Canis lupus familiaris: one gene and its partner. The protein of the gene in region 1 interacts with the protein of each later gene in a biochemical or structural test. Links are inferred from orthologs where the notes say so. Each region holds a gene or a part of one and is shown in the gene's direction. Other genes may lie near its edges. The genes, in order: GPRASP1 and OPRD1.

What was found.
Region 2: the proteins of GPRASP1 (region 1) and OPRD1 form a complex in vitro, tested with the Homo sapiens proteins (2 studies listed by BioGRID and IntAct). The link is inferred for Canis lupus familiaris from reciprocal best matches to the Homo sapiens genes GPRASP1 and OPRD1.

Annotation. Positions count from the first base shown.
Region 1 is NC_049260.1:76,612,323-76,628,641, forward strand, and holds the start of GPRASP1 (G-protein coupled receptor-associated sorting protein 1), read left to right. Parts: upstream 1-6,251; 5' UTR 6,252-6,387; intron 6,388-6,500; exon of another isoform or gene 6,501-6,607; 5' UTR 6,608-6,666; intron 6,667-6,904; coding exon of another isoform or gene 6,905-6,944; intron 6,945-8,653; coding exon of another isoform or gene 8,654-8,753; intron 8,754-8,944; coding exon of another isoform or gene 8,945-10,631; exon of another isoform or gene 10,632-10,965; intron 10,966-16,319. Other genes in the region: ARMCX5 (armadillo repeat-containing X-linked protein 5), read left to right, coding at 6,905-6,944, 8,654-8,753, 8,945-10,631. UniProt on the Homo sapiens protein: Modulates lysosomal sorting and functional down-regulation of a variety of G-protein coupled receptors. Targets receptors for degradation in lysosomes via its interaction with BECN2.
Region 2 is NC_049223.1:71,079,436-71,095,158, reverse strand, and holds the end of OPRD1 (delta-type opioid receptor), read left to right. Parts: intron 1-9,016; coding exon 9,017-9,366; intron 9,367-11,786; coding exon 11,787-12,328; downstream 12,329-15,723. UniProt on the Homo sapiens protein: G-protein coupled receptor that functions as a receptor for endogenous enkephalins and for a subset of other opioids.

The DNA of each region.
Region 1 (16,319 bases):
TGGGTATAGAGTGGTATCTCCCTGTAGTTTTTTTTTTTTTTTAAGATTTTATTTATTTGAGAAAGAGAGTGCGCGAGCACAAATAGGCAGAGTGGCAGGCAGAGGGAGAGGGAGAAACAGGCTCTCTGCTTAGCAAAAATCCCAATGTGGGGCTAGATCCCAGTACTCTGGGATCATGAGCTGAACCGAAGGCAGATGTTTAACTGACTGAGCCACCCAGGCGCCCTCCCTATGGTTTTTAATTTGCATTTCCCTAATGATTTCTGATGTTGGTCATCTTTTCATATGCTTGGTCATTTATATATCTTCTTTGGGGAAGTCCCTATCCAAATGCTTTATGTTTTAATTGGATCTTTTTTTGTCTTTTTGTTATTGAGTTGTAAGAATTCTTTATATATTCCAGATCCAAGTTCCTTATTAGACATATTTTTCATAAAAATAGACAACCAAATTATCAAATTTATTTAAAAATTCAAAGGACCTGGAAGAGCAATAACAATATGAAAAGAAAAACAATGTTGAAGGACTTACACTGCTGATTTTTAAGCTATAAATGAGGCATTGGTATAAGGACATAAACATGGATTAATGCAGCAAGATAGAGTCTAGAAATAGACAAATATAAGCCATCAATTGATTTTTTAAAAAGGTACTCAGATAATTTAAGTGATCAAGGGAATGGACAGTCAGTCCTTCTAACAAATAAAGCTGGTTCTACTGTATATTTTTTTGGGGGGGGGCGGGAAATGAACCTAGATCCTTACCATACATTTTACAGAAAATTTACTTGAAATTTATTGTGGACTTCAAAATAAGAGCTCAAACTATAAAGTGTCTACAAGACAATGTAGGAGAAATTCTTTGTAACTTTGAGGTAGAAAAGATTTCTTAGGGACACCTGGGTGGCTCAGTGGTTGAGCGTCTGCCTTTGGCTCAGGGCGTGATCCTGGTGTCCTGGGTTTGAGTCCTACATTGGGCTCCCTGTGAGAAGCCTGCTTCTCCCTCTGCCTATGTCTGTCTTTCATGAATAAATAAAAAAAAATCTTAAAAAAAGAAAAGATTTTTAGGACAAAAAATCATGAACCCTAAGAGAAAAAAAATTAAACATCTTAAAATGTTTTGCTCCTAGAAAGACAACATTAAGATAATGAAAATACTTGCAAGAGATATCTAACAAAGGATTTATATGCAGAATATATTTAAAAAGTTACAAATCAAAAAAATAATAAAATTTACAAATCAATAATATGAAGACAATCCAATATAAAATCAAATATAAAATATTTAAAAATCCAATAAAATCCAATCCAATGTAAAATGCAAAACAAATATAATATCAAATGTGCAAACAACAGTGGATTTGTCACAAAAGGAGATATATAAATGGCCAATGAGCACATAAAGGGATATTCAACATTATTTATCATCATGGAATTGCAAATTAAAATTAAAATGAGAAACTTATATGAAATCTCGATAATTTCTAAATCTATTTTAATTTTTTAAAGATTTTATTTATTTATTCATGAGACACAGAGAGGCAGAGACTTAGGCAGAGGGAGAAACAGGCTCCCTGAGGGAAGCCCAATGTGGGACCCGATCCCAGGACCCCGAAACCATGCCCTGAGCCAAAGGCAAATGCTCAACCACTGAGCCACTCAGGCGTCCCTAATTCCTAATTTTAAAAAGGCTGACAGGGCAGCCCCGGTGGCTCAGCGGTTTAGCGCCACCTTCAGCCCAGGGCGTGATCCTGGAGACCTGGATCGAGTCCCATGTTGGGCTTCCTGCATGGAGCCTGCTTCTCCCTCTGCCTGTGTTTTTGCCTCTTTCTCTCTGTGTGTATCTCTCATGAATAAATAAGCAAAATCCTTAAAAAATAAAATAAAAAGGCTGACAATATCAGGTGCTGGAAAGAGTGTGATGCAATTTGAAATCACATGCATTTTTGTTGGGAATATAAAACAGTATGGCAAGTTCAGACAATGGTTGTGTAGTTTATTATAAAATTAAAAATATACTTACTATAATATATATAAATACCACTCCCAAGTATCAATCCCACTCCACTGTGAGATCTTTTAAAATAATACTGAATTTTTCATGAATATAATATAATTACTGTAGAAATGTGGGAAATACAGGTTATAAAACTATGGGGAAAACTATAATCGAAATCATAAATACAATAACTACTGATTTTTGCTTTTCTTTGCACATACCATTTCCCTATATAATTTATATTCTGGATAAAATTGTTTTAGAGAATATATTTTTTCACTTGGCATCATTTCATAAGAGTTTTCCCTATGTCATTAAAATTTTCCTAAACATAATTTTAAGAAAGCAAATTGCAAACTACTATAAATAAACAAGTAGAAAAATCTTTGAACCAAGAAATGGTGGAAGCAGAAGCTTTGGGGGAAATAGGGGCCTCAAGATAGTGTGTTTTTAAAATGGGAGAAAAAAAACAGCATGTTTTATGCTGCTGAAAAGATAACTGATTACAATGAAATAAGTATAATGAAATCTTTTCTTGAAAAATGTGTGTGTGTATATGTGTGTAAATATATATACACATATTGGCATTGATAAAAGTCTGGGAGGGTATATATCAAAATGTTAGGAGTATTTATCAGTGTTAGGAAATGCAATATATATATTTTTAATTTTCCATATAATTACTAGGTTTTCTACTGTGAACATATATAACTTATGTAATAAAAAATAAGTTAAAGGATATGGAAGAGACACATTCCTAGCAATTTCAATAGAAAAAATACAATAGAAAAGAAGCTGAACCATTTTTGGGATAAGGAACATTTCTTTTTTTTTTAAGGATTCATTTATTTATTTTTGAGAGAGAGTCAAGAGAGGCAGAGGGAGAAAATATTCAAGCAGACTCCCTGCTGAGCACAGAGCCTGATACAGGGCTCAATCTCACTACCCATGAGATAATGATCTGAGCTGAAACTAAGAGTTGGACACTTAACTGACTGAGCCACACAGGTGCCCCTAAGGAACAGTTCTAAAGCAACCTATGGATTTAGTTAAAAGTATGATCGTGAGAACTATCTCACTGTTCTCTGTTTCCTCCAATGGATGTGCCCAAATCTGGAACCTTTCCAAAACAATAAAGGTGCCTAAGAAATAGAATGTATATCTCCCATATACAAACAATAATCATAAACAAACAATAATCATTGTTTTCAATAGGTACCCCTTCTATTCTTTGAGTGTTTCATAAGTATCAACAGTGCTGTTTTACATCTGATTTCTGTATGGATTCAAATACATTCTCCTAAATGGAAAGCATTATCTTTGGTAGTAGTAGTAGTACTAGAATAGCATTTATTATGGACTTACTTAGTAAACTACATTGTGAATCGCACAGGAAAAGTGTGTAAAGAAGTATTAGAAGCTCGTCCTTCAAATCTGGAGGGTAAGCCACCTACCCTCACTAATGTTATTGCAGAATTAGAAATATTCCTAAACAAACAAAAAGGACTCTCTCACTGTTTTTTCCTGACACAGTGGCCCAGCTTAGAATCCAAGGGTGTAGGCCTGCAGAGTTTTAGCATTCCTAAGAACATGTGGTATAGGTTTTTTTTTTTTTTTTGGTATAGGTTATTAAATATCCTATGATTCTAAGGAATATATTAAATTAAATTTTATTTTTGAGTGGTTAATACAAACATGGGGTTCCAAATTCCAAAAGCACAAAAGTTCACACAGGTAAGTCTTCAAGTCTCCTTCCACTTTCTCTGCAAATAGGTTACCCTTCAAAAAAGGCAAGCACTGTTACCAGTTACTTGTTGATATTAACAGGGATATTCAATGTATACATATATGTAGTAAAGTATCATTAAGCAAATGATGGCACGCTAAACATTGCTATGCACCCTGTTTTCTTCACTTAAAAATGTGTTTTGGACATCATTCCATATCAGTATACATAGATAGAGCTGCTCTTTCTTTTTAATAGCTGCATATTACAGGGAGATACACCACAATTTTACTATTTATAATTATTTAGAATCTTTCCAATCTTTTACTATTAAAAAATTCTGCAGTGAATATTTTTTTACATATAGTATTTTGCAATGTACAAATATTACATTAGGATAGATTCTTTAAGTATAATTGCTGGTCAATAGTTATGTGCATTTGTGCACATGTCCCTTGACTTGTCTTTTTAATGAACAGTCTTGTCATTTGTTTTTCTACTGGATTGTTGGTCATTATCCTTTCTTTATAAGTTCATAGGGGTTTGCACTATATTAGGGAGCTTAGTAAGGCATAATTCTAAACATGAATAGAAGACCAAAAAAGAGGGAATCCCTTGGTGGCTCAGGGGTTTAGTGCCTGCCTTTGGCCCAGGGCGTGATCCTGGAGTCCTGGGATGGAGTCCCACATCAGGCTCCCTGCATGCAGCCTGCTTCTCCCTCTGCCTGTGTCTCTGCCTCTCTCTCTCCTCTGTGTCTTTCATGAATAAGTAAATAAAATCTTTAAAAAAAGAAGACCAAAAAAGAGTAACAAAGCACCAAATCCAAATTATATGTATCCACCAAATGTTATTACAGTATGAGATATTAAGATACCCCAAGTTTCTTTCTAAAATATATTTTAGTAAACTCTTGCTTCCTCCCTCCTCTATTGAAAAATCACATATAAAGCATCTCCTGTGTGGCAGACTCTAGGCTACGCTCTGGGGTTACAGACATTAAAGACAAAGACATACTTTTAGGCAGGCATTGATCTATAATCAACAGAAGATATCGTGGAATTCTCATGAGTCAATGGTCTTCACTTCCTTCAACTATTAACTGACTACTTTGTCTTCCATGTATAACACTGAGAATACAGTGGTGAACAAGACTGAGAAAGTGGCCCTTCCTTCATGGAACTTACAGTCTAATTCAAATTCCCTCCTGACAGTGCTTGGAATGCAAATTCAAAGAATTTTATATATTCAGAGATAAAGCATATGCATTCATTAGGCAGGTGAGAGAAAAGGAGGCAGGAGAGCAGCTAGGATCTGCCTTGAGAAGTACATGGGTAGTATCCCTTTCCTTAGATAGAAATGTGGAAGAGAAGCCAGACCATCCCTAACTAGTGCCTGACACCTGGCCGTGAGGTGACAGATAGGAAGGATTGCATGACCGGTTTGGATCCTTACAGAGACAGGCCCTTTTTCTTGAGCAACTGTAGGGACCTAGAAATGGCACAGTGTGCTACCGTTTCAAGTGAGAAAAAAAGCAGCGTGGCATAAAGAATGACTTGGCACAGATCAGTGGTTTGTTTCTTTGTGTTAGAGGGCAAGGTCTGCTTTCCTTTAGAACAGAAACAGTAACGAGGCCTCCACGGGAACCCCTTCCCACCTTCTTCCTTTCCACCGCCCCATAAGCAATGAAAAAATTTGGGAAGGCCACCATAGAACCTCCAACATAGGTGGTTTACAGGTACAAGGTTATTTGATGAGTAAGCTTCTTTCATGAGTACAGAATTGTTACCCTCTTGTGCACGCTCAAGACCACACATATTTAGGTGCAAGAAATACTGTGGACAGGAGGAGAGGCAGGGCGTGAGAATGGGATAGGTACACACAAGAATATTTGGAATTAAGATGCTTCTCTCCTTTACTGCTTTCCCCATATCTTTATCCCATTTTGCCTTTACTATTTTAGTACAAGAAACACGGTAGGCAATAAGATGAGAAACTTAGAAGATAGCAATAAAAGCCCATGATGTTTGATATTGTTCAGCAAGTCAGACCAGAGTAGTCTTCCAGACACCAAGCCCACAGTATCCCATTTTGTGCAGAGAATTAAGTGCTTGGTGCTTCAGCTTGAGGTGTCTTCTCTCATTGACGGCTTTTGGAATAGATTAGAATGTACCCTCTTCCCTCAGTCTTGAGCCTCTTTGTCGACCCTCTCATCCCCTCCCCCAACCCGCCTCTTTAGGTGGACCTAGGACTTTGGAAAGTGTGTAAGACACTGAGGTATCCTTCCGCATGGTCGGGCCAGAGTGGAGTCAGCGACGCCACCGCCTGATAATCCACATGCGCTTCAGTTCAAGAAAAAGCAAAAGTGTTGGCTTGGTTGGGGGAAGATCCTGAAAGAAGGGAACTAACTAATGCTGAGACCCTTTAGTGTTGGTCTGCTTCCCTCTGTATCGCGCCGCTTCTTCTACGTTCAAATGCCGCTCCAGCTCTTACCAGGATGAGAAAAGGCTAGAGTTGAGCTCACCGACAGAGGGCGCAGTGGCGCTATACAAAGCTTAGTATCACTCCGCTTCTGTAAGGCCGGATCGCCTTACACAACTCTCCAGAGACTGCGGCTGCGGATATGGGTACGGGGACGTGGCAAAGCAAAGTCTGCGGAGGAGAAGGTAGCTGTTAATTAGTCACTAGACGTGGGTATCGGAGGAGCTTTGGGTAGGGGGGTAAGGGAATACCAAAAAGTGGCAATTGTTTGCAAGTTACGGCCCTTAATATGACAAAGCAGGTTTCACGTCCGAAATCCCAGGTGCCGGGCCAATCCACAAACGTAGTCGCCGCCATTGTCTCGAGTCCTCGTGTCCAGCTGACTGTCCGTCCCTCTTTCTGTAGGGCACAGCACCCCTTGAGGCAAGGAAATAAGAGAACTGCCTCTGATCCAAGCAGAGCAGGTCAGTGAGAAGGCGGGCATTTCTTGGGAGTGTGGATATGGGTATCAGAGAGAAATCTGGGAAAAGTGATCTGGTCGTGGGGCGCGGGCGGTGAAAGGGAGAGGGGGACAGGGGTAATTTGAGTGGCACGCAACTATAAATTTAAAATGATCTTGCTAGCTTGATTTCCAGACACTAACTCCACCTCCGACCGTATTTGGGAAGGTAAAGGAGTATAGTAGCGGCTTCTAGCGGAGAAATGGCGGTTTGTATAATGGAAGGAGGGGCTATTGCTGTAGGTGAGCGTGGTTGTCAGGGGAACCCTGGGAGGGAGAGTGTAAAAAGCAGTTTCAAGTGTTTGATAATCAAGGCCCTGGATTAGAAAATGGTCTCATGTCCTGGTTACTAGTCAGACCATTAATAACCAAGTCTCTCTCACTGCCTTTTTGTTTGGTCTTTGGGTGTGTATCATGCGTTTACATATTTAGGTCTGTTCTGAAGTTTTCGGTACAGATGTTTTTGTAAAGATCTGTAGAGGGCCTTGGACCTCAGAGGGAGGGGATAAGAAAAGGACGCTGGGCCTAATTTCTGTGGAGTGGGCAGTGTTTGGAGTTGGTAGATGGCTAAGACTAGAACAGGCAGGAATCTAGGTGAAACTCCAGATCTCCTTTCTACATGCTTTGTAAACAGTCCTCCCTTACTCCTGCTGTGTTGCAGAAAATGATAGGCTTTAGGGAGAGGAAGGAAACAAACGCTTAGATGAAATTTGGAGATAATACTTTTCATTTATTTGCAGCCAATTTCCATGGCTTGTCTGAGCATTTCATCTCTACTACCACCACCACTATCTTGTTAGGGATGTAGGAGTTGTCTGTGTAGGGGAATTGTCAGACTTTAGGAGTGGAGCAGAGGAACATGAAGGGAGAGGGAGGAAGAAAGGGACACAGAAAATTTTGGCAAACAGGTACCTGTCTCCAGAAAGGATAGGTGTCCCAGGTGCTGATCTCTCCTAAGGAATTAGTCTCCATTGTCTCATGTGTCTTCATTTACTTATTTATCACCACATTTGTGACTCTCTGGCTATGGACCCATCTCCAGGTCTGTGGAACTCTGTTGTGAAGGTTTACAAATGGTAACCCAGCTTGAACCTAGGAAATAATGAAAAGAAACATGCCCTGTATCAGTTAACGATTGGTGTGAGGGTAGACAGGAGAAGATTGAGACTAGGGAATTCTATTCTCTTTTGTTTTGCCAGTTTACTAACCCCTCTTTGGTTCCCTGCTGATTTAGATAGGAGTCTTTGAAAGCTTTGGGAGTATAGAAGGGTAACACTTGTTTTTCCGATTTCCCACTTGCTTTTCCTATTTTTATGCTTCACCTAAGCCAATTTTAAACTAGAGAAATGAAAGGACAGTCACTGAATAGTAAAATGGTGGGCAACAGGGAGAAGGAGGATCAGTCCTGAATTAGGGCGATGGTGGTATGGGACCAGAAGGAGGGAAACATTACACAAACTACAAATATAGGAACTAGACCAAGGACCATGATCTTTCTACCATGAGGTCAGTGTCCATATCCTCCGATTTGTTTATTTGTCCATTGATCTGCCTGTAGGTCTGCCATAGGGCTTGTCAACATCGGAAGCAAGGAAAGGAGGAGAAAATTACTCCAGATCAGTGAAGTTTGGTATGAATATGGAGACTTCCTCAGTAGACGTGTAGGATGAAGTAGTAGTCCAGCAGGGATAAAGAGCCAGTCTAGGGATTCCTTAGTCTCTCTCATTCCCATTAAGCTTTCCCACTCCATACTCCTGTTTTGTGTCTAGAAAGAAAATTAGTAGCACCTGAAGTTTTGTAGAGAGTGTGAAATGAGGAGAGAGAGAGTTTGATAATTATCTACCTCTCTCACTTAGCCCTGAATGTTCATACTCTCCTGTCTCTCTGTGCTAATCAACGTAAGAAATACATTGGAAGAGACTCAAAGCCCCATTTCCTTCCTCCACTCCTAGGTCCAACTTCAGTGGCAGATCTGGTGGCCTTGGAGTGGCTGAAGACCACCACCCTCCACAGGGCTGCGCTCAGGCACAAAGCCATTCTTCCTTTCCCTGAGTGAGCTTCCTCTGCACGTTGTTTATATCATTGGCAGAGCTTGTAGGTGGAAAGGGGGCTGAGTGACGAATGGACTTTGTATGAAAACACCAACCTGGGACAGACCTTCAGTCAAGGCTGAGACGGGGTTGGGGTATATAACTTGGCCTTGCCTTTAACTTGGATCATGACTGGCTCTGAGGCTGAGGCAGGGGCAGAGCAGGTGCTGGGACTGCCCTAAAAGCTGGAATCAGTAGCCCTGCCAACCCTAGAGCCAAGGCTAGGATCCAGGCCAAGGCAGTGGGTGAGGCAGAACTGGAAACAGGAACAGTGACCCAGGCCAAGGCTGGGGATGGAGCAGTGGCCAGGACACAGACAGTGACCTGCACTGAGGCCGTGGCTGTGACAAGGGATGTGGGCAAGATGGAAACTATGACTAAGAATAGAGTCATGACTGAGACTAAGGCAAAATCCGTGGCAGAACCTGGTATAGTGCCCCAAACCAAGTCAAAGGTGATGCCTATGGCCAGGGTCAGTGCAATAACCAAGTGTGAAGTCAAGGCTGCTGCTGGAAGTAAAACTGCTATCAGGTCCTTTGCCAAGGCTGATGATAAGGCCAGTATTGAGTCCAGGCCCGAGAGAAAGAGAGAGGATGACATCAAATTCAGGGCTGAGGCTGGGGACAGAGCTGGTATTATAATCGAGTCCAGTGATGAGGATGAAGAAAATGTCTGCTCCTGGTTCTGGACCGGAGAAGAGCCTAGTGTAGGATCCTGGTTCTGGCCTGAAGAGGAGACTCCTTCTCAAGTTTATAAGCCTCCACCTAAGATCCAGGAAAAGCCCAAGCCCATACCCAAACCTGAACTCACCATAAAGCAAAAAGCAGCAGCATGGTCAAGGGCCAGGTATAGTGTCCTAGTCCCAATAGAGGGAGGGGAGCCATCCTTGCCTCCAGAAGGGAATTGGACTCTGGTTGAGACCTTGATTGAAACTCCTCTGGGAATTCGGCCTCTGACCAAGATCCCACCCTATAAAGGGCCCTACTTCCAAACCTTAGCTGAGATAAAAAACCAAGTTAGGTATAGGGAAAAGTATGGGCCCAATCCAAGAGCCTGCCGCTGTAAATCACGTGACTTTAGTTTGGAGCCTAAAGAGTTTGATAAACTCGTTGCCCTACTTAAGTTAACTAAGGATCCTTTTATTCATGAAATAGCTACTATGATAATGGGCATCAGTCCTGCTTATCCATTTACCCAAGATATAATTCATGATGTAGGTATTACTGTTATGATTGAAAACTTGGTCAGTAATCCCAATGTTACAGAACACCCTAGAGCTTTAAATATGGTAGATGATAACTCTGAGTCTTCTGAAGAACGAAAACCAGCAGAGTCATACATACATCAAGTTTGTAAGGACATAATCTCTTATCCATTGAACTCCCCTGTGCAACTGGCTGGACTAAAATTATTAGTGCACCTGAGTGTGAAATTTGAGGATCACCATATAATTGCAAATTACATTCCAGATTTCCTTACTTTGTTAAACAATGGAAGTGTCAAAACTAAGTTTTATGTTTTAAAAGTCTTCTTGCGCTTGTCTAAAAATCAAGCCAATACAAGAGAACTGATTAGTGCCAAAGTACTATCATCATTGGTCGCACCCTTTAACAAGAATGAGTCAAAGGCCAATATTCTTAGTATCATTGAAATATTTGAGAATATAAATTTCCAATTCAAAAAGAAGGCGAAGCTGTTTACCAAGGAAGAGTTCACTAAATCTGAGCTTATTTCCATATTCCAGGAAGCAAAAGAGTTTGGTCAGAAACTCCAAGACTTAGCAGAGCACAGTGATCCTGAGGTGAGAGATAAAGTTATACGATTAATACTCAAACTCTGAATAGCTGTATGTTCTCACAAAACCGTGAACAATTTTTTTGGTGTTGTAATATGAAGCCATGCATATTATAATTGTAAGTTAAATATTTATGTTATTTCTATTGATTGAAGGAAGCGATTTTATGGATACCAAATGATCTTGAGAGCTTTGAGTGTTTGTTGATTTTTATTGTGCTATATAAATTGAGATATTTTTAGTATTTCTGCAACATTACCTGATAATGAATCTATTCATCCTGAGTAAGCTATATTTCTGTGCTTTATATTGACATAAGTGTATTCATTTGAGACTTTATTTACGTGTTAATAAAGTTATACGCTAAAACTGATGAAAACATTGTCGTAGTTCTTCAGTTGAAGTCTAGTTAGAGGGATCCCTGAGTGGCGCAGCGGTTTAGCGCCTGCCTTTGGCCCAGGGCACGATCCTGGAGACCCGGGATCGAATCCCACCTCGGGCTCCCGGTGCATGGAGCCTGCTTCTCCCTCTGCCTATGTCTCTTCCTCCCTCTCTCTCTCTGTGTGACTATCATAAATAAATAAAAATTAAAAAACAAACAAAACAAAAAAAACCATGAAGTCTAGTTAGAAGGATAAAGCACAATTATCACAAAGATGATAAAGAGTACTGTCTTTGTGTGTGGGACGGAGGGTACAAACAAAATAAGTTCACATAGATCCTGTAGTTTCAACGTGTTCAAGGAATGGAATCACTCAATACCATGAGAGAGGACTATGCTACTAGATGACATTCTGGGCTCATCTGGGGAAGGGGGTGAGGACACAGTCCTAGGAGAAAGGGAACATATATACTTTCATTCCAGTCTGAGTCCCAGAACCTCTGTTCACCCTTTAACATAGGATATCTCATCAGGATACCTTGAAGCTTTTTAAGTCCCAGGAGGATTCCTGGTTCTCACTCCCATTCAGCAAAGACATGGGAGTATGATTCTGAAAGGACCCAGCCCCACCATGCCCTCAAACTCCAGGTACCCCCATCAAGGTACCAGGTTTACTGCTTCATCCCCTGTAGTCCTGGGCCTTAAAGAAAGGTCTTCCTGGAGACCAACTACAAAAACTGCTTCATGGATAGTCTCATTTGTCTTGCCTTGGTGACTGTTTACTCTCATCCTTGCTTTTGTTTGCTTGCCAGTACTTTGGGCTTGGTACTTTGCACCTATCCTGGTGGCAGCACCTTGTTTGTGCTGACCCCTTTTGGTCAGATTTCAGCAAGCTGAGCTCAGTGAGATGGCTATAGGATTCCAAAGTCCTTTAGGGATGTGTGGTTAGGAAGAAATTAATTCCCCTAGTTCCATTATCCTATCTATTGGTGCAGGTTACAGAGCTGAAGCCTTGTCTGTACTGCTTCAGCTCCTCCTGCCTATACTTAATGAAAACTAGGTTCTGGCTGGGGGTTACTGGCATAGATTTCAGAGTATAGATTGGGATCTGGGATCATCTCTGCTTCCTTTGCTGTTATTGTTCTCTTTCCTTTACTACTAAGAATTGAGAAATATAGATATTAGGATCAGTGTACAAATACTAGTCTTTCTTTTAAACTTCCTCTTGTTCCTAGTTTATGTTTTTGATGGAAGACCTAAACTGAAAAACTTGAACAAGGTTTCATATACTCCCAGTTTTAGAAGCCATGCTTAGTTTAATTTCCATTAAGGTCAGTTCTGAACTCATCTTTTATACACTTAGGAATTGAAATGAAGGATAACTGGCCACACATGTACATTAAGTGTGAAAAAAGTAGGGTTTTTGCAATATGTAATTGCAGCTTAGATTTTTGAAGTTCTTTGTAATTTTTTTTAAGTAGGCTCCATTAAGCATTGAGTCCAACACAGGGCTTGAACTCACAACCCTGAAATCAAGACCAGAGCTGAGATCTAGAGTCAGATGCTCAACCTATTGAGCCACCCAGGTGCTTGTTTATAATTTTTTTAATCCCCTGGAATTCCAACTATGTGTACTAATTTCAGAGTTGGGGTTGTCACAATACAATTGGACCAGGCCCTTTGGAAATATTCTCTATCTCAAATGCTCTATGGAGCACACAATCAGTTGACATCTATGGAATTTTCTATCAGCTAAAGAGTGGGGTATGCAGCTATTTGTTTCAAAGCAAGAAGCTGATGGTTTCTCCTTGGGTGGGAATTAGGGGAGACATTCATTTCCTAAATTGTTCCTGGGGTGTGCTTGAAGTCAAAACCCTATTGCTCATCCCTTGTTTCACTCCTTTCCTGGAAAAATAATTCAGGCAACTCCATGTAGTATCAGGGCTGATCTGATACTACTTCTAAAATGTTGCTGCCTGGGAGTAAAAATCAGGATGGATTTCTCATCTTCCTGTTACGAAGTAATCTTCCTACAGCACACCTGGACTGTTAGCACACACTGACACTGTCTACCATACCCTCAATTTTAAAAGAGGACTTTTCTATGGGAATTCATCTTTACAATATCACCAAATTCCCCAGTAAGACTTTCAGAGCTCTGTATCCTTCACCTTTCTATTTTTCCCATTATATCCCACTATGTGGCCTACATTCAAACCACAATGGGCCAATGTTTCCATACTTTTAATGCACTTTCCTGCTTTTGTTTGTTTGCTTAGGCCAACTGCAATGCTTTTACAAACCTTTTTTTTTCTTTTTTTTTGCTTTTGGGCATACTACTCATTCCTTTTAAGGTCAGCTCAAATGCAAGGTTGTTTTGAAGTCTTCCCTGACGTGCTTATCCTCCTTGTGTCCATGTTGGAATTAATAGCCCCTTCTGCATTTCCAAAGTTTTTTATTTACTCCTCTATTTTAGCATTTGTGTCTTTATATTGTGCCTTGGAATCTTCTTAGTAAGTTGGAGCTTGTATTTAGAGTCAGCATAGAGGGGGAAGCTTGGGCTTTGAGAATATCTGAATTTCAAAGCCTGAACTTTTTATTATGTGTAGTAATAATAATTATTAATACTTATACATTCATTAAGTGTTTACTGTGTGCCAGATACCATCCTATGTGCTTTACTTGTACTAACTCATTTAAATCCTAAAACATCCCTATGGAGTAGGTCCCCCTATCCACATTTTACATGGAGAAAGCTGATATACTGATTGGTTAACTAACTTGCCCAAGCTCATTGAGTTGGTTAGCAGCAGAGCTGAGATTCAAACCTTTGCAGTCTGAGTCTGGAGCCAGCATATGTACCCACTTTGTAACTCCATAACCCCACATAGCTTTACATTAGTAATGTACATGGCCCATCTCAAACTTAAGTTTGAGTGATGTAAGATTGCACAGGTCCCTTATCTCTTCTGCTTTGTTCCTGTAGGACACCTCCTGGCTTTATCTTCATTCCCTACCCAACTAAGCATTTATGGTCCATCATTTTCAACATGTTTTTAAGTACTTTTTAGTGTGGTAAAATACATATAACATGAAAGTTGCCATTTTAATGACTTTTATGTGCACAATTCAGTGATGTTAATTGCATTCACAATGTTGTGCAGCCATCAGTACTATCTATTTCCAAACTTTTTCATCACCCAAAAGAGAAACTATATAAACCATTAAGCAGTAACTCTCAATTCCCTCCTCCCTTCAGCCCCTGGTAATTCCTAATCTACTTTCTGTATCCATGAAAATGCCTATTCTGAATATTTCTTTTATATATAAATATATTTTTATTGAAGTTCAATTTGCCAACATATAGTATAATACCCAGTGCTCATGCCATCAAGTGCCCTCCTCAGTGCCCGTCACCCAGTCACCCCATACCCCCACCCGCCTCCCCTTCCACTACCCATTGTTCATTTCCCTGAATATTTATTATAGGTAGAATCATATGATTTTGTTCTTTTGTGTCTGGTTTATTTCACTTAGCATGTTTTTAGTGTTTATCCATGTTCAGGCACCTGGGTGGCTCAGTCAGTTAATCATCTATCTTAGCTCAGGTCATGATCCTAGGGCCCTGGGATTGAGCCCCGAGTGGCAGGAGTGTTGGCTCCGTCCCTCAGCACAGAGTCTGCTTCTCCCTCTCCCTCTGCCCCTCCCCCTTTCCCATGTGTACACTCTCTCTCCAAAAATAAAGTTTATCCATGTTGTAGCATGTATTAGAACTTTATTCCTTTTTTGTGCCTGAGTATTCCACTGTGTGTGTGTGTCTGCATATCTGTGTATCTGTGTGTGTGCACCAAATTTTGTATATTCTTTATCTGTTGATGGGCACTTAAGTTGTTTCCACTTATTGGCTATTATAAATAATACTGCAGTGAACATTGGTGAACAAGTATCTGTTTGAATCTCTTCTTTCAAAATTTTTATTTATTTTTATTATTTTTTTAAAGATTTTATTTTATTTATTCATGAGAGACACACAGAGAGAGAGGCAGAGACACAGGCAGAGAGAGAAGCAGGTCCCATGCAGGGAGCCCAATATGGGACTTGATCCCAGGACTCCAGGACCACACCCTGGGCCGAAGGCAGGCACTAAACCGCTGAGCCATCCAGAGATCCCCTGCTTTCAAAATTTTTAAATATAAACCTAGAACTAGAATTTCTGAACCATATAATAATTTTATGTTAAGCAATTTGAGGAACTGCCCAATTTTTCCACCGCAGCTGCACCATTTAACAATTCCATTAGTAACAGCAGGGGTTCTAGTTTATCTACATCCTTAGCAATACTTGTTATTTTACATTTTTAGTAGCTATCCTAGTAGGTATCAAGTACAATTTCATGGTAGTTTTCATTTGCATTTCCCTAATGACTAATGGTGTTGGGCTTTTTTTCATGTGTTTATTGGCTATTTGCATATCTTCTTTGGAGTAATGTCTAGTCAAGTTCTCTGCCTATTTTTAAATTGAGTTGTTTTGTTGTTATATTGTAGTAGTTCTTTATATATTAAGGATACAAGTCACTTATTAGCTATATGATTTGCAAGTATTTTACTCTAGGTTTTTTAATGTTAATGATGTCCTTTGATGCATAAAAGTTTTTAATTGTGATGATGTCAGATTTATCTATTTTTTGTCTTTTGTTGCTTGTGCTTTTGGTGTCATATCTAAGAATACATTGCCAGATCCAAAAGCCAGGAAGATTTATTCTTGTTTTCTTCTGAGAGTTTTATAGTTGTAACTTATATTTAACTCATTGATCCCTTTTGAGTTGATTTTTGCATACGAAATGAAGAAAGGATCCAACTTCATATTTTTACATATGGGAATCCAGTTGTTTCAGCACCATTTGATGAATAATATAGTCTTTCTCCATTTAATGGACTTGGCGCTCTTGTCAAAATCAATTTGCCATAGACATATTGGTTTATTTTGGGACTCTCAATTCTGTTCCATTCATCTCTATGTCTATCTTATACCTGTACCACAGGGTTTTGATTACTGTAGCTTTGTAATAAGTTTAGAAATCAAAAGTGTAAGTGCTCCAACTTTTTCTTCTTTAAAAAATTTTTTAAAAATCTGAATCCCTTTCCATTCCATTTGAATTTTAGAATCAGCTTTTCCATTTACATCACAGAAGCCATTGAGTTTTTTATGTATATTTTTATTGAAGTTCGATTTGACAATATATACTATAACACCCAGTACTCATCCTGTCAAGTGCCCCCCTCAGTGCCTGTCACCCAGTCACTCCATCCCCCTACATTGGGATTTTAATAGGGATTGCATTGAATCAGTGG
Region 2 (15,723 bases), on another chromosome or scaffold:
CCTCACCCCAAGGGTTGGACCCAATGGTAAGGTTGGACCTTATGAAAAAAAAAAGCAGGACAATAGGGGCACCTGGGTGGCTTTGGCACAAGTCATGACTCTAGGGTCCTGGGATCAAGTCCCACATTGGGCTCCCATGGGGAGCCTGCCTCTCCCTCTGCCTATGGCTCTGCCTCTTTTTCTGTGTCTTTCATGAATAAATAAATAAAATCTTATTAAAAAAGAATTTCTTTCCTCTTTTTTTTTTATTTCTTTCCTCTTTAAGGCTGAATAATGTTCTGTTGTATATATAGACTGCATCATGTTTATTCATTCATTTGTCAGTAGACACTTGGGTTGCTACTACCTTTTGGCCATTATGAAAAGTGCTAGTTTGAGACGCCTGGGTGGCTCAGTGGTTGAGGGTGTGGTCCCGGGGTTCTGGGATTGAGTCCCGCATCGGGATTCCTGCATGGAGCCTGCTTCTCCCTCTGCCTATGTCTCTGCCTCTCTCTGTGTCTCTCATGAATAAATAAGTAAAATCTTTTTTTAAAAAATGCTAGTTTGAATGTATACAGATACCTCTTTGAGACCCTCCTCTTCATGCTTTTGGGTATGTATCTGGAAGTGGAATTGCTGGATGATATGGCATTCTGTTTTCATTTTTTTGAGGAATTTCCATGCTGTTTTCCACAGTGACTATACCATTTCATATTCCCATCAACAGTGCGCCAATTTTTCCACATCCTTGTCAACACTTGTTATTTTCTTTTTTTAAAGATAGATAGATAGATTGATTGATTTATGATAGAGAACATGCTTGTGCTAGCATGAGAGCATGGAGGGAGGGGCAGAGAGAGAGAGAGGGAGAATCCCAAGCAGACTCCCCACTGAGCATGGAGCCCAATGCAGGACTTGATCCTAGGGTCCTAAGATCATGACCTCAGCTGAAATTCAGAGTCAGACATTTAATTGACTGAGCCACCCAGGTGCCCCTCTGTTTTTTGGGTAGTAGTCATCCTAATAGAGATGTCAGTGGTGTCTCATTGTGGTTTTGATTTTCCTGATGATAATGATGTTGGGCATCTTTTCATGTGCCTACTGGCCATTTTTATATCTTCAGAGAGAGTGATCTATTCAAGTCCTTTGCCCATTTTTTAATCCAGTTGTTTGCTTTTTTTAGTGTTGCGTTGTAGAAGTTCTTTGTATATGCTGCATATTAACCTCTTATTGGGTATGTGATTTGCAGATATTTTCTCCCATTCTGTGTGTGTCCTTTCACTCTGTCAATAGTGTCCTTTGATGCACGAAATTTTTAAAACTTTTTTAAAGATTTATTTATTTATTTGAAGGAGGGCAAGAGGAGCAGAGGGAGAGAATTCTGAAGCAGGCTCCACTGAGTGTAGAGCCTGACACGGGGCTTGATCCCAGGACCCCAAAATCATGACCTGAGATGAAATCAAGAGTTGGCCATTCAACCAACTGAGCCACCTAGGTGCCACACCAAATTGTTTAATTTTGATATAGTCCAGCTTATCTGTTTTTCTTTTTATGCCTGGGTTTTTGGTGTCATATCCAAGAAATCATTGCCAAATCCAGTATCATGTAACTTTTCCTCCTCTGTTTTCTTCTATGAGCTATAAGTTATACCTTTTACTTTTTGGTCTTTTATCCATTTTGAGTTAATTTTTTTATATGTTATAAGGCAAAGATCTAATGTCATATCTACAACTTTTGGAAATAGAAAAAAAAAATTAGAGAACAACCGTAGGGGTGGGGAAGTACATGAAATATCCTTCTAGAAAGTTCAGTCTCTTACCCAATCTTTTCTTTCCTTTAGCTTCCACACAGCAGTCAAAGTGATCTTCTAAGAAACACATATAAATCAAACTGCATCACTCCCTTGCTTGAAATCTCCAGTGACTTCCTGCTGCACTCAGAATAAAATCCAGACTTCTTGCTGTGCATGATTTGACCCCTGCTGACTTCTCCCTGGTGCATCTTGCTTCTTCTCAGGCTTATTGCCATTTAATCACACTTAATTTCTGACCATTCCTGCAGTTCATTGAGCTCTTTTCTGTCACAGGGTCTTTGCACATTCTGTTCTTTCTGCCTGAAACAACCTACCTCCTTATCGTCACATGGCTAGCTCCTTCTCATTCCTTCTAACTTGGTAGAGATATCACCTTGTCTTAGCTCAAACTACCATAACAAAATACCATACATTGGGTGGTTTAAACAACAGAAATTTATTTTCTCACAGTTTTGGAGGCTAGAAATAGAAGATCGAGGTCCCAGCATGGTCAGTTTCTGATGAGGGAGCTCTCTTTCTGGCTTCTAGATGGCCACTTTCTTGCTGTGTCCTCACTTGGCAAGAAGGGAGGGGAGAGGGAGAAGGTGAGAGAAGCAAGCTCTTAGATGTCTCTTCTTCTAATTCAGTTCATAGCACACATCCTCAGAGAAGCCATTGATGACCTTCCAATCTAAGCCAGATTCCTTCCATAAACCACCGCCGCACTCTGGCTTGGTAGTGTCCATCACTATACCCTATTCGTATCCTTCATGGTAGAGCAGTAATGGTGAATAACTGTACATTAATTAGTGTAGCAATTTGTTCAATGTCTGATCCCTCCCTAAGAGCATAAATTTTAAGAAACTGGGCTATCATCTTCACTCCCATATTCCTTATTCAGTGCCTGGCATATACCAGATGCTGATTAATGCCTGTTAGAAGGGTGAACAAATATCAGCCTATAGTAAATTTACATTCCTTGACTTTTTCACTAACTGTGGGGCAGGAAGGGTGGGGACAGGAAGGAAGGTAACATGCACTGAGGGGCAGTATAGCAAAGTCATTACCACATGTCAGCACTAGATAGCCTGAATTAAATACCCTCTCTGCTACTTACTGGTCATGTGACCTTGGACAGTTTACTTCTTCTGTTGTGCCTCAGTTTATGTTCCTTAAGAGATGTCAACATAGTTTTGGATGATGAAAAGCAATTTGAAGGGGAGTAACAAGCTGAGCAGGAGTGAGGTGTGGGGCTGGAAACAGGGGCAGGGAATGGCCTATCTATAGAGGGAGCATTGAGACCCTTAGCCCTCCTCCCCCCTTGTACACTGCACAGTCAGGTGACTACCCTCCACTCTGCATGAGGTTAAGGGTTTTTCCCTTGAGAAGTTAACCTGGGAGAATTCTGAATTTGGGACCAGCAGACACAGAAAGGGTCAGAGTGAGATACCAAAAGAAAAGTGGGGGAGGGGGGGAGTCCACTGACTCCTCCTCCAGGTCTGCTTTTATAATCCTGAAAGCCAGATGTATGCTCCCCAAGCAGGAGACTGGAGGATTCTTTTCTTAAAGCCCCCAGAGAAATGACATACTGACAATGATATTTAGATATTCCCCACTATAAAAGCTTGATTTTTCCCAGTTCCCCTATAAGGCAGTTGGCAGGACCCCCACACTGATGCGTGCATGCACACACGCACACACACACAGGGCTGCTAATTAGTTATTTAGTGCCGTACTCAAAAATCAACCTTTAGTCATATATCACTAGATATTTGAAGGAAGCCTCCAGGATAAAAGGGGAAGCTCAAGGAGACAAATAAACAGAAATGTTTGAAGCAAATAGACAATGCGGTGAGTGGAAGAAAATACAAAGCAAAAATTATTAGTATCCTCAGAGAAATAAGAGAAGATATTGTATCCATGAAATAAGATGCTATAAATTCTATATAAAAAAGAAATAATAAAAGAAAAAGAAATGACACTGGGAAAATAAGACATGAGAGCCAAAATAAAATAAAAAAGTCAATAGAAAGGTTGAGAGGTAATGAAATGGAAATTTCCCAGAGGATGTACCAAAAAGACAAAGAGATGGAAAATAGAAAAGATAGAAAATTAAAGGATCAATCAAGATGCCCAATATCTGACTGACAATTTTCTAGGGATTCCAGAGGAAGCAGAGGGGAGTTAACGACCAAATAAATGAAGTGAGGATATTTCACACTGAAGAACATGAATCTTCAGAATGAGAGAGCCCAATACAAATGAAAAAGAACCACACTAAGGTATATCATCACAAAATGTCAGAATACCAGGGATAAAGAGAAGATCCTAAAAGTTTTGGTTGTGGGGGAGGGAGAACAGATTATATATACATCATCAGGTATCAGAATGGTTCCAGCCTCTATTGGAAGCTAGAAGATGAGAGACCCATGCCTTCAAAATTCTGGTGGAAAATTATTTCCAACCAACTATTCCATATACAGTTAAAGAAATTAGAAGGGAGGATAGAATAAAGACATTCTCAGATATGCAAGGATATAAAAATTTTACTTCCTATGTACCCTTTCTTAGGAAGTGACTAGAGGATGTGTTTCACCAAAATGAGGGCATAGACCAAGATAGAAAAGACTTGCAAACCAGAAAGCAGGTTCATCAACATAGGAGGACAGGTATGTAGCTGGTCTAGAAAGCAGCCAGTCCCAAATTAAAGGGAAAAGGAAGGCTCCAGGAGGTGGATCACTAGGAAAACAAAAGGATCTGATAGCCTACGTGACTGTATGGAAAAAGCATTTTACATATCTGCTGGAATGCTCAAGGAGATTTAGCAATATGTACATAGAACTAAGCAAATGAGGAAAAAAAGAGGCAATTATTAACTCCAGAAAAAAAATATGTACAGAAAATACATGTAATTATAGGATGCCATTTGGTTCAGCAATGGACAATATGTATAAAGTCATAAGAATGTAAACCCTGGGGACGCCCGGGTGGCTCAGCGGTTGAGCGTCTGCCTTCGGCTCAGGGCGTGATCCCGGAGTCCCAGGATTGAGTCTCACATTGCGCTCTCTGCATGGAGCCTGCTTCTCCCTCTGCCTGTGTCTCTGCCTCTTTCTCTGTGTCTCTCATGAATAAATAAATAAAATCTTAAAAAAAAAAGAATGTAAACCCTAAACAAAGAATGTAAACCCCAAATATTAATTAAAAGATTTAGAAGTTGTGATAAAACTATATTGAAAGGGTGGAGAAAAGAAGTGGAGCTAGGTAGTGTAAGAGTTAATACTTGTCTAGTGTATTAGGGGTTGTGGAGGACATTGCTAGTGTTCACTAAAATCAGGTGCTCCTTGCTTCTGGGCACATGGAAGACTATACTTCTTGTATAGTCTGCACCCTTGTAGTTGGGTGGGGCCACATGACCAGTCTGGTCACTCAGCTCCAGGTGGAAATGCTATGTTGCCACTAGAATGAAGCTTAGATGACCCTGTAGCTGTCTCTTCTCCCTCAGCAGTGATCAAGGAAGCTGTGGGTTAAGATGGCAGAGCCACAAGATTGAAACAGGCTGGAATTGCCTCATGGAATATAATTGTCCTACAGATACTCTATAGGCTGCAAGGATGAGAAATAAACCTTTATTTTGTGAAGCCACTGAGATTTTGGGATTATTTACTTCTGTGTAGCGTGGCTTAACTGATACAAACTTCAGCATGTACTGTGTAAAACTGATAAATGAGGATATAGCCATTTAAGCATGTTATTTAGAATTATGGAGATAATCGCTAGAAGAATAACTAAAAATATTAAAAGTGGTTGCCTCTGGGGAGCAGGAAAGAGGAGTGAGGAACCTGTTTTCATTGTAGTACTATATGGCTTTTTTACACAGTGTAATTGTATTACATTGGCAGAAATAAAATTTTATAAAAAGCCGTGTGTGTGTGTGTGTGTGTGTGTGTGTATGTGTTTGTGTGTGTGGTGCGTAAAGGATTCCCCCCCAACCATTACAATGGCTGTCCTTAGCAGGGCAGGCATGCTAGATTGGACATCTGAGGAACTACAGATGTGGCTGGACATGGAAGGCACTGTGGGAAAGGAGGCTACCCCGATGGAATGTCAGTCTGAGGAGTTTAATTTTCATCCAGATGACAATGGGGAGCCATGGAAGAATTGTCAGCAGTAAGAGTATCCTGAGCAAATCTACTTTTGTAGTGAGGACCCTTACTTACCTGGATGGTGAACTGTGGGGGAGAGTGGGGGCTCTGTGGTCTCCATGAGGCCTGGACTAGGACCTGCATACAAGTGTCTCTCAAGGGCCTGCTATTTGCTGGGTCCAATTGGTATGCCCAGCCATAGAGCAAGGAATAGGATGGACAAAGTCCTCTACCTTCGGGGAGCATACATGGGTGAAAGAGGCAAATAGAGAGAAAAAAAGTGTAAGTTATGTGCTGGTTCATGCTATAAAGAAAATTGAAGCAAACGTAAGGAGATAGATTGTGGGGAGAGAGGTAGTTTAGATAGGGTGGCCAGGTGTGGCCTCTCTACAGAGGTAACATTTGAATAGAGTCCTGAATTAAGGGAAGGAACAAACCATGCAAAATGTGGGGTTCCAGGCAGAAGGAACAGCAGTCCGGAGGACCTGAGGTGGGAATGGGCTCAATACGTCCAAGGAACAGCAAAGAAACCATGGGGGGAGGGTTTGAGGGCCCATCCGTCAAGGGGAAAGTTTGAGGAACAGTTCATGGAATCTGGAGAGAACCTCAGGGAGCCACTAGTGGGTTGAGAACAGGAGAGCAGCATGATTTGTCTGAGGAGGCCAGTAGGGCCAGGCTTGGCAGCCTCAATAGCTGGGGAGGAGGTGGGCGGGCTGGTTAGGATGGGAGCCTCTCGGGCTCTGCCCAGCAGTCAGTGTGGTGCCTCTCAGCCCGCCTGGACCAGCTACAGCAGCTTCATCACCCACTTCCCAGCATCCCAGCCCCCTCTGGGAATTGAAGGATCCTCACAAATCAAAATAGCAAGAAAAGAACAGCCTCTAATTGTTCTGCGTAAAAGAAGCGAAATTAGACGAGTCAGCTGTGGGGTTGAGACCGCCTCCTACACAGCTGTGATCCCGCACCCTGCTGAAGACAGACTTCCCGAGACTTGAAATTCTGCTGTCTCCGAGCAAAACTTTTGCTTCTCCAGCCCCAGGGCAAATGACAGCTATTTGGGGAAGGAATGGGACTGATGCTGGCCCTGGAGGACAATGAGTGACTCAAATCAAAACAGTCCTTTCATGAAGAGAGAGCCTTAGCTGGTATGAGTTCACTCGGTCATTCAAAACACATTGAGGGCACTCAGAGCGCATTCGTCAGCTCTCACGGCACCACCGTAGCATCCTGGTCGCCAGGGTTGGGTGTGGTAGCGGGGGGTTTCTAGAGGGGTAGAGGCATGCAGTGTGGTTCAACCCTTGGGGCAGAGTGGAGAGAGAGCACTGGTCTGGGAGTCAGGAAGGAGGTCTAAGTTCTTGCCTTGGCTCTGCCGCTGTCACTGTGTAACCTTGGGTGAGTCATGCCACCTCCCTGGGCTTCAGTTTCCCTGTCTTCTCATCTGGGCTTTAGGCCACATCATGTTTCTCAAACTTTAGAGCCCATAAGAATCACTTGGGGGTAGTGCTTGTTAAAGATGAAGATTTCTGGGGCACCTGGCTGGCTCACTTGGTAGAACATATGACTCTTGATATTAGGGTGGTGAGTTCAAGCTCCACGTTGGGCCTAGAGCTTACTTAAAAAAAAAAAAAAAGGTGAAAATTTCCAGGCCTGGTTGCCAAAGATTAAGATTTAATAGATCTGGCGTGGGGTCAATGAATCTGCTCTTCCAGGAATTCTGAAGGGAGTCCCTGGACCACACTTCCATCTAATCACTTTCCCTCTCTCAGGGCTCTTCCTGTTTTGAAATTTGGGGAGTTGCTCATGCCACCCTTCTCTGGATTTCTCAGATCATTGTAGGGGCATGAAAGGAGTCCTTATCCCTGCTTCGGTGTACCTGTGTGTTTCTGCGATGATCTCACTGCACTAGGACAGTGTATCTCAGTGTATGTAGCCTGGTAGGGTGTCCTTGGCCCAGCACAGGTCCTGGTACAGAGGGGGCCAGGGCAGAAATGTTGGCCAAAGAAGGGGCCAGCTGTGACACAGGCTGTTGCACAGTGGTGTAGAGCATGGAGGAATGTTTCAGGTGCAGGGGGGCTTAGTTGGCTCATCCCTGGCTTGGATACCTGGGCTCATCCCTGGATTGGATGTATGGGAGAGTGCAGTTGAGTGGGATAAGGAGGTCTAGATGAGACTACAGGAAGGACTGAGAACCCTGGTCCACCACAGAGGGCACCCCAGGAGGTCTAAGGCCCCAGCCAGTCTGCTAGGCAGAGGCAGGGTCCCTTCCTCAGAGCTGGCCAATCATATTTCCAAAAGGTCAGTGGCAGAAGCTAGAGGGTCAGGTCACTCTGGTCTAGTCTCCAGCCTTCCTAGATGAAGAATAATACCCTCATATACTGAGCATTTGCAATGCTTTGGGCTCAGGACTAAGTGCAGTATCATCCCATTACATTTCACAACGACCCTATGAGGTTGGTAAAAGCATCATCTCCCCTGCTCCACCCCGCATTTTTTTTTTTTTTTTTTTTTACAGCTAACAGACACTGAGGCTTAGAGACTTCAACTTACTAGCCCAGAGTCCCTCAGTTAATAAATAGAAGCAGGGTTAGAACCTAGACCTGTTTTTGTCTGAGCTCAGTTTTATTATTTTTTTAAAAATTTTATTTATTTATTTATTTATTTATTTATTTATTTATTTATTTATTTATTTAGAGAGGCAGAGACATAGGCAGAGGCAGAAACAGGCTCCTTCTAGGGAGCCCGATGTGGGACTTGATCCCCAGAACCTGGGATCATGCCCTGAGCTGAAGGCAGATGCTCAACTGCTGAGCCACCCAGGTGTCCCCGGAGCCCAGTTTTATTTTTAACTGTGTTGCTTAGTACCCCTCAGAAGATGAAGGGTTTTTCCTAAAATGCCTTCTGCCAAAGTCAGCCACAGCCAGAGAAATCCTTTTGCATCCAGTAAAGTGAAAAGATGTGATGCTGAGTTAGGTGGGTCAGGATTCCAGTCCCACCTCTGCCCCCAGACTTTTTGCGTGACCTCAGGCAAATCATTTCCCCTCTCTGAGTCTCATGTGAAACTGAAATCGGTGGAATGGGAACAATAACCTACACACTTCTTTTTAAGGTACACTAAGATGAAGACAGCCACCAACATCTACATCTTCAACCTGGCCTTGGCAGATGCACTGGCCACCAGCACACTACCCTTCCAGAGTGCCAAGTACCTGATGGAGACGTGGCCCTTTGGGGAACTGCTCTGCAAGGCTGTGCTCTCCATTGACTACTACAATATGTTCACCAGCATCTTCACCCTCACCATGATGAGCGTCGACCGCTATATTGCTGTCTGCCACCCTGTCAAGGCTCTGGACTTCCGCACACCGGCCAAGGCCAAGCTGATCAACATCTGCATCTGGGTCCTGGCCTCGGGTGTGGGTGTACCTATCATGGTCATGGCTGTGACCCGCCCCCGGGGTGAGTGAGTGGCTGAGCTGTGGTACAGGCCACTGACCACAGGAGGCAGCATGTGGGCCCTTGTGGGTTTGCAGGACATTTATTAGAGTGGGCGGAGGTGGCTCTATACCGGTAGAGGTGTGGATTACTGATCAATGAAAGTGTGGATGGCTGACCAGTGAGAGTGTAGGGAGTCAACCAATGGAATGTGAATGGTTGACTGTTGTGAGGATGAATGACTGGTCAGTGGTCAGATGGGTTGCTGGTCAAAGGAAACTTATGAATGGGATTGTGGAGGGGGCAGGGTGTGGAGCAGCTGGCCAGGAGTGTGTGGATGACTGACTAAAGGGAGATGGATGGATGGCCAATGGGGTGAGGGTGTCACTGACAAGTGAGCAGTGGAGGCCATAAAATCTGCAATCTCATCCCAAATCCCCTTCCACCTCAGTGGGAAAACCACTGGCCCAGATGACCAAGGCAAGGCCTAGAGAATAGCCTTCAGAAAATTACAGGTGCATTTCCTCAGAATAAGAATGGTAATTAATATAGTAGCTACCTGTATCCAGGTAGCAGCTGTAACAGGCAATCTCCAAAGTTCAATGCTGAACAGTATAGAGGTTTATTTATCACTCATGTCACAGTCTAACGTGAGTCAGGGGAGGGCGAGCTCTATTCCACAGTTCTTCAGGGACCCAGGCTCCAGATGATGGTTTTGGAATCCTCCACTGCTGGCAAGCGGATAAATATGGAGAAGGAGTGATGAGAGAGCATGACCAGCTTTTAAATGTTCTGGCCTGTCTCTTCCTAGGGATAGCTGGTTACATGGCTCCCACCTTGACATAAGGAAATGGGACAAGTAGTTTAGCAGGGGACCAACCACACCGGTCACTAACCTATCTGAGCCACACTGTATCGTGGAGTGTTGAGAAGTTTAAAGGAGGCTAGATGTGTAAAATACTTAGGACAAGGCAGGGACTCTGACCTCTATTTGACCGAAAGAACATCTAGAATCAGAGATGTCAGTGGTTTACTTATGGTCACACGGCAGGCATTTGGTGGAATTTGACCTAGAACCTGAGGCTTCTGCCCTTATATCTGTTACTGGTATTGCCCCCTGGCGTGGAGGTTTGCAGAGGGTTGGTGCTGTGGGTGGAAAGGGAATAGGCTTGGTGGGAGGACTTTTGACTTCCCCTTTCCCCCAACGACGAGGCCCTGGTGCCCTCATACAGCTTCTGTGCAGTTGGTCTTGACTCAGCAGCTGGGCCCCATTCCTCACTGTCAGCCTTCAGTTTATGGGCCATTAACTGCATCCCAGCTGGGTGCCAGACCAGATGGGCCTCCTCACTCCACACTCTATCCCCTACACACACTCCCCCACTCAGTGCTTGTTGCTTCTGTATGTAACTTGCTGTGTGAGCTTGGATGAGTGCTGTTCCTCTCTGAGCCTTGTTCTGCCATCTGCACAGTGGAATCCCTGGCCTCAGTCATCCTGGCGGTTCTGCCTTCCTGCTGTGGGGTGGACCCACTCTGTAGATCCCCAGCACCCTTCCTACCCGTCTCAGGCTCCAAGTCCACTGCCTGGCTCCTCAAAACCCAGAGTTCCAAGAGCTCTTGGGCGGACGGACAGTGGGCCAGTGTTAGGCCTGTATCCCAAACATCCCTAAGGTGCTCCTCCAGCCCACGCCCACACTCCGGGAATAGGGAGCTCATTCCACTATGGGGACACCTCTGGACAAATCTGGCAGTCCGAAAGTTCTTGTTATTAAGCTGAGATCTGTCTCCCTGCCCCTATCCCTGACTTCTGGACTTCTATATGTACCTGCCCCTCTGCCCTGTGAGTGCATGAAGAGCTTGAACCCCCCTGTGCTAAATGTTCCACATGCTTTAGCTCATAGAATGCTCACGTTAGTCTCACTTTATGGAGGCTTAGCCCATTGATTCCTCATATTAGTCCCACCTTATGGAAGCTCTCCTGGAGGCTGAATAATTTGCCCAGAGTCACACCACACATTAGTAGGGGCCGAGTTCTGCTCTTAACTCATCAGTGCTCTTTAGATCAGTCTGAGCAGGGTTGTCCTCATTGGAGCTAGTCTGGAAATGGGTAGAGTGTTTTGAGTTCTCACAGTGACTGGCATTCGGTGGGTCTGGGCTAAATTAGATCATTACTGCCGTCCATTCATGTAGAGGCTTCTAAAGGGACCAGGAGAAAATACAGAAAAGGAGACCTCCCAGATTAGGGCCAATCCCACTGGGGTCTTTAAGGGTGAGCAGGAGTTCACCAGCTTTGGAAGTGTTGGGGGACATTCCAGGCGGAAGAATCCCTGTGAACAGGGGCCGCGGGGAGGTGTGGGCCCCCACCGAGCCAAGAAGGGTGGCGCGCAGGCGGGGCCGCCGGGGCCCACTCGCCCCTCACCTGCTGTCTTTCCCTGTTTCCCCCGCAGACGGGGCAGTGGTGTGCATGCTCCAGTTCCCCAGCCCCAGCTGGTACTGGGACACGGTGACCAAGATCTGCGTGTTCCTCTTCGCCTTCGTCGTGCCCATCCTCATCATCACCGTGTGCTACGGCCTGATGCTGCTGCGCCTGCGCAGCGTGCGCCTGCTGTCGGGCTCCAAGGAGAAGGACCGCAGCCTGCGGCGCATCACGCGCATGGTGCTGGTGGTGGTGGGCGCCTTCGTGGTGTGCTGGGCGCCCATCCACATCTTCGTCATCGTCTGGACGCTGGTGGACATCGACCGCCGCGACCCGCTCGTGGTGGCCGCGCTGCACCTGTGCATCGCGCTCGGCTACGCCAACAGCAGCCTCAACCCCGTGCTCTACGCCTTCCTCGACGAGAACTTCAAGCGCTGCTTCCGCCAGCTCTGCCGCTCGCCCTGCGGCCGCCCCGAGCCCGGCGGCTTCAGCCGCGCCCGCGAGACCACGGCCCGCGAGCGGGTCACCGCCTGCACCCCGTCCGACGGGCCCGGCGGGGGCGCCGCCGCCTAAGCCGCGCCAGCCCCGCCGGCCCCGCCCGCCGCGCCCCTGCGGGCCCACCCGGCCGCCACCCCGGGCCCGGCCCCGGAGGAAGGGGGTCGCGCTGGAGCCGAGGGGCGGGGGGCGGGGGCGGGGCTCCGGGCGGAGGGCGCGGTCCACGGCTTTGGGTTGGAGGCTGGGGGCGGGGAGCGCGACTGGGGGAGTGGGGGCTGTGGCTCTGGGACCGGGCTGCTGAATGGGACCTCCGCGGTGGCCGGCCTCAACCTTGGGACAACCTCGGGTTCTAGCCAGAGGCGGCCTTGTTGGCCTGGGACCTGAAGATCCGGACCCAGGACCCAGGGGGCAGGGGGGGACCCTGAGAACCGGGCTGCGAGCCTGGGTGTCTGTTGTGTGGTGGGGAGGGACCCCTTCTGGGGGCCAGAGGGTAGGACAGGTCAGTGAGTCGGCCTGCAGCTCACATTAGGCCACAAGATAGGGTAGGGCCTGTGGCCTCAGCCTTGGGGTAGAGTCCCAGCCCCGAGTTCTAGCAAGAGATGGGGCTTGCGGAGGTCCAGGGAATAGGCTTGGTGTCGTTATAAATAAACTGAACTGTCGTTATAAATAAACAGAAAATAGGGAGAGAGAAACAATATACCTTTTCTTTTTTTTTTTTTTTTAAAGATTTTATTTATTTATTCATGATAGTCACACAGAGAGAGAGAGACAGAGAGGCAGAGACACAGGCAGAGGGAGAAGCAGGCTCCATGCACCGGGAGCCCGACGTGGGATTCGATCCCGGGTCTCCAGGATCGCGCCCTGGGCCAAAGGCAGGCGCCAAACCGCTGCGCCACCCAGGGATCCCCAATATACCTTTTCTATCCTTGACAGTCATTTTCTTGGATGGAATGGCCTCAAGCATCGACGTAGTGTCCCCAGCACTTTGTGCCAGTGGGGCTTGGGACATACCAGTGATACAGGGCCATCGGCTTCAGGCTAAGGGTAGGTCCCCGGCCCTTCTGTGGGGCTCAGAAGGAGAAGCGAGGTCCTGGAGCTCCAAAATCAGAGCTGCAAGTCGGCCTCTGTGTCCAGGGTGGTGGGAGGGCAGAAGCAGAAGCAAGCCTGGGGAACTTCTGCTATGACATCAGGTCCTCAAGCTGGAAGACAGACACTTTTGGGGTCCCCAGGGGTCTGACTTCTCTGCCCAGCTATTGGAGGACAGAGGACCGTGCTAGTCAGAGCTCCAAGGATGGTAAGTGGCCACCGGGACTGGGTGGGGGCCTCTGAAGCACCGGTGTAGACTTTTCCTCCTGCCCATCTTGTGCCTCTGATAAGAACCCCTGGGAAATCCTCTTCCGTCTCCCAATACCTGGCTGCACCAGTGTGTCCAGTGTTTCCAGGGAACTGGAACTGCCCACACAGGGGCCTGTCTCTGAAGTAAGTGGGAGGAAGATGGCTTTTATGGCTACAGTGTGAGCATCTGTGTGCCCCTCCATTGCCCCCGCCCCCACCCGGCCCCAGCTGCCCCCTTCAGGCTGCTGAGGGCAGGTCCACCCAGAGCGAGGCATAGAAGTTTTTCTCTTCATGTGTTTGGCATTTTATTCAGGCATTCCTAGGTCTTTGCTTTCCTATCAGGGACTGTCCTTGTTCCCTATGCCTCCCCCGTGCTTCACCTCCTCTCCCCGCCCCCTCCCCTCACAGACACTGCTTCAGTCCCGCACCCCTGCCTCCCTATTGAAGCAGTGAGCTGACATCCTTGTAGAAACAAATTAATTTTTTCTTCCCTTTTTGGGACAGATGGAAAGAAACTGACGTCTTTGTCTCAAACCAAAAAAAAAAAAAAAAAAAAAAAGGAAAGAAGATACCTCTTCTCCCTTTTGACAGTCATTTCCTTGGAACAAAAGCCTCTCCCTTGTCTGGGAGACTGTCACTCCAGCAGGGGAAGAACTACCATTCAGGAGGTTGGGGGTTTAGGCACCAGGATGGGCTTTGGGCACATTAGGGGTAGGGATGCCCTTTAGTAGACAAAGCACAGCCCCATCTCAGGGTGCAGACCCCAAGAAGCTCCAGATCTGAGAATTTTCTTCCTCCAGGAAATGGCTTCAGTAGCACTTTGGAAGATGTAAGGCAGTGCTCAGTGCCCATAGAGACTTCTGTGTTTGAATGCTTGAGGGGGTGGGGTATCAGCAAGGCGGGGGTCCCTCCTGGACACTCTTCATTGTGTGGGACCCTTCCTGCTAATGCCTTGGAGAGATGTCAGAGACAGGGGACAATTTAGGGATGGGGGAAGACTTCTGAAGAAGGTGACCTTGGATCCAGGGCTGTTGATTCTCCCTGCAAGGGCTGTGTCCCCTTCAACCCTCTCTTAAGCTTGCCCTGGACCTGCTCACTGCCATTTCCAAAGGCTGTAACAGACCTGGCTGCTTTTTACTACTTTTCATACATAAATCTGTCCTGGAGTCAGCAGAGGCTGGGTCCAGACCATGCGCATTTAAGGTAAAGCCAGCTTGTACTGAAATCCGCTTGGTACCAGGCTGTGTACCCCAGGCATTGGAACTCAGAAATAAGTCAGAGATAGCCCTGCCCTCAGGAAATTCAAGCCCAGCCTGGGACACGAGGCATCAACAGATCATTGCATCTCAGTGCGAGGCATGCAGTGACAGGAAGCCCTGGGGAGGATGGCACGGGAAAGTATCTTTTCTAGCTTTTTACTAAAACCCATTTGTAGCAATTCTAGAAGACATTGGAAATAGAGGGCTTTAAAGGATGTGTAGGAGTTGGCCACCAAGAAGAGGGGACAGCATGTGCAAAAGCATGGAAATGTTAAGGTGCTTGGCGAACCTGAGAAAAGCCATGTGCATCTCAAGTATGGAGCTTAACTGAGCACTTTCGAGTGCCAGGCTCTGTGCCAAGTGCTTTATGCACATTTTCCCATCCAAGCCTCATGACAGCCAAGTGGAAGTACTATTACCCTCATTTTAGACAACAGGTTCAGAGGTCAAGCCACTCACCCCTAGTCACAGAGCCTCAGGTCAGTAGAACTCCAGCATCCGAGTTTCTGGTGAATTCCAGGCATCATCAATATAGAAGAACCTTAGTTGCTGAAACCCCGGAATGCGGATTTTTGAAGACTTAAAACCAAATGGAAAAATCTGAAGGAAAAGGGCAATTTTCCCTGAACTTTTGTTCCTCCTGGAGCTCTCCAAATCTTCACATTTCAGAATGTACTGTGCATGATGCACTTTAAAGCTCCAAATTGACAGTGTAATTCTAGATCATCACAGGGCTCTCAAAACCATGAAGTAGGTCTGATCCCCCCCACCAGGTTTCCACTCCCCTCTCTTCAGGAGGTGGAGGCAAGTTTTTGCCTCTGGTTTCAAAACGTCCTACAATTTCCTATCTTTTCTTGTGGTAATAGAAGTAGTGGTTAA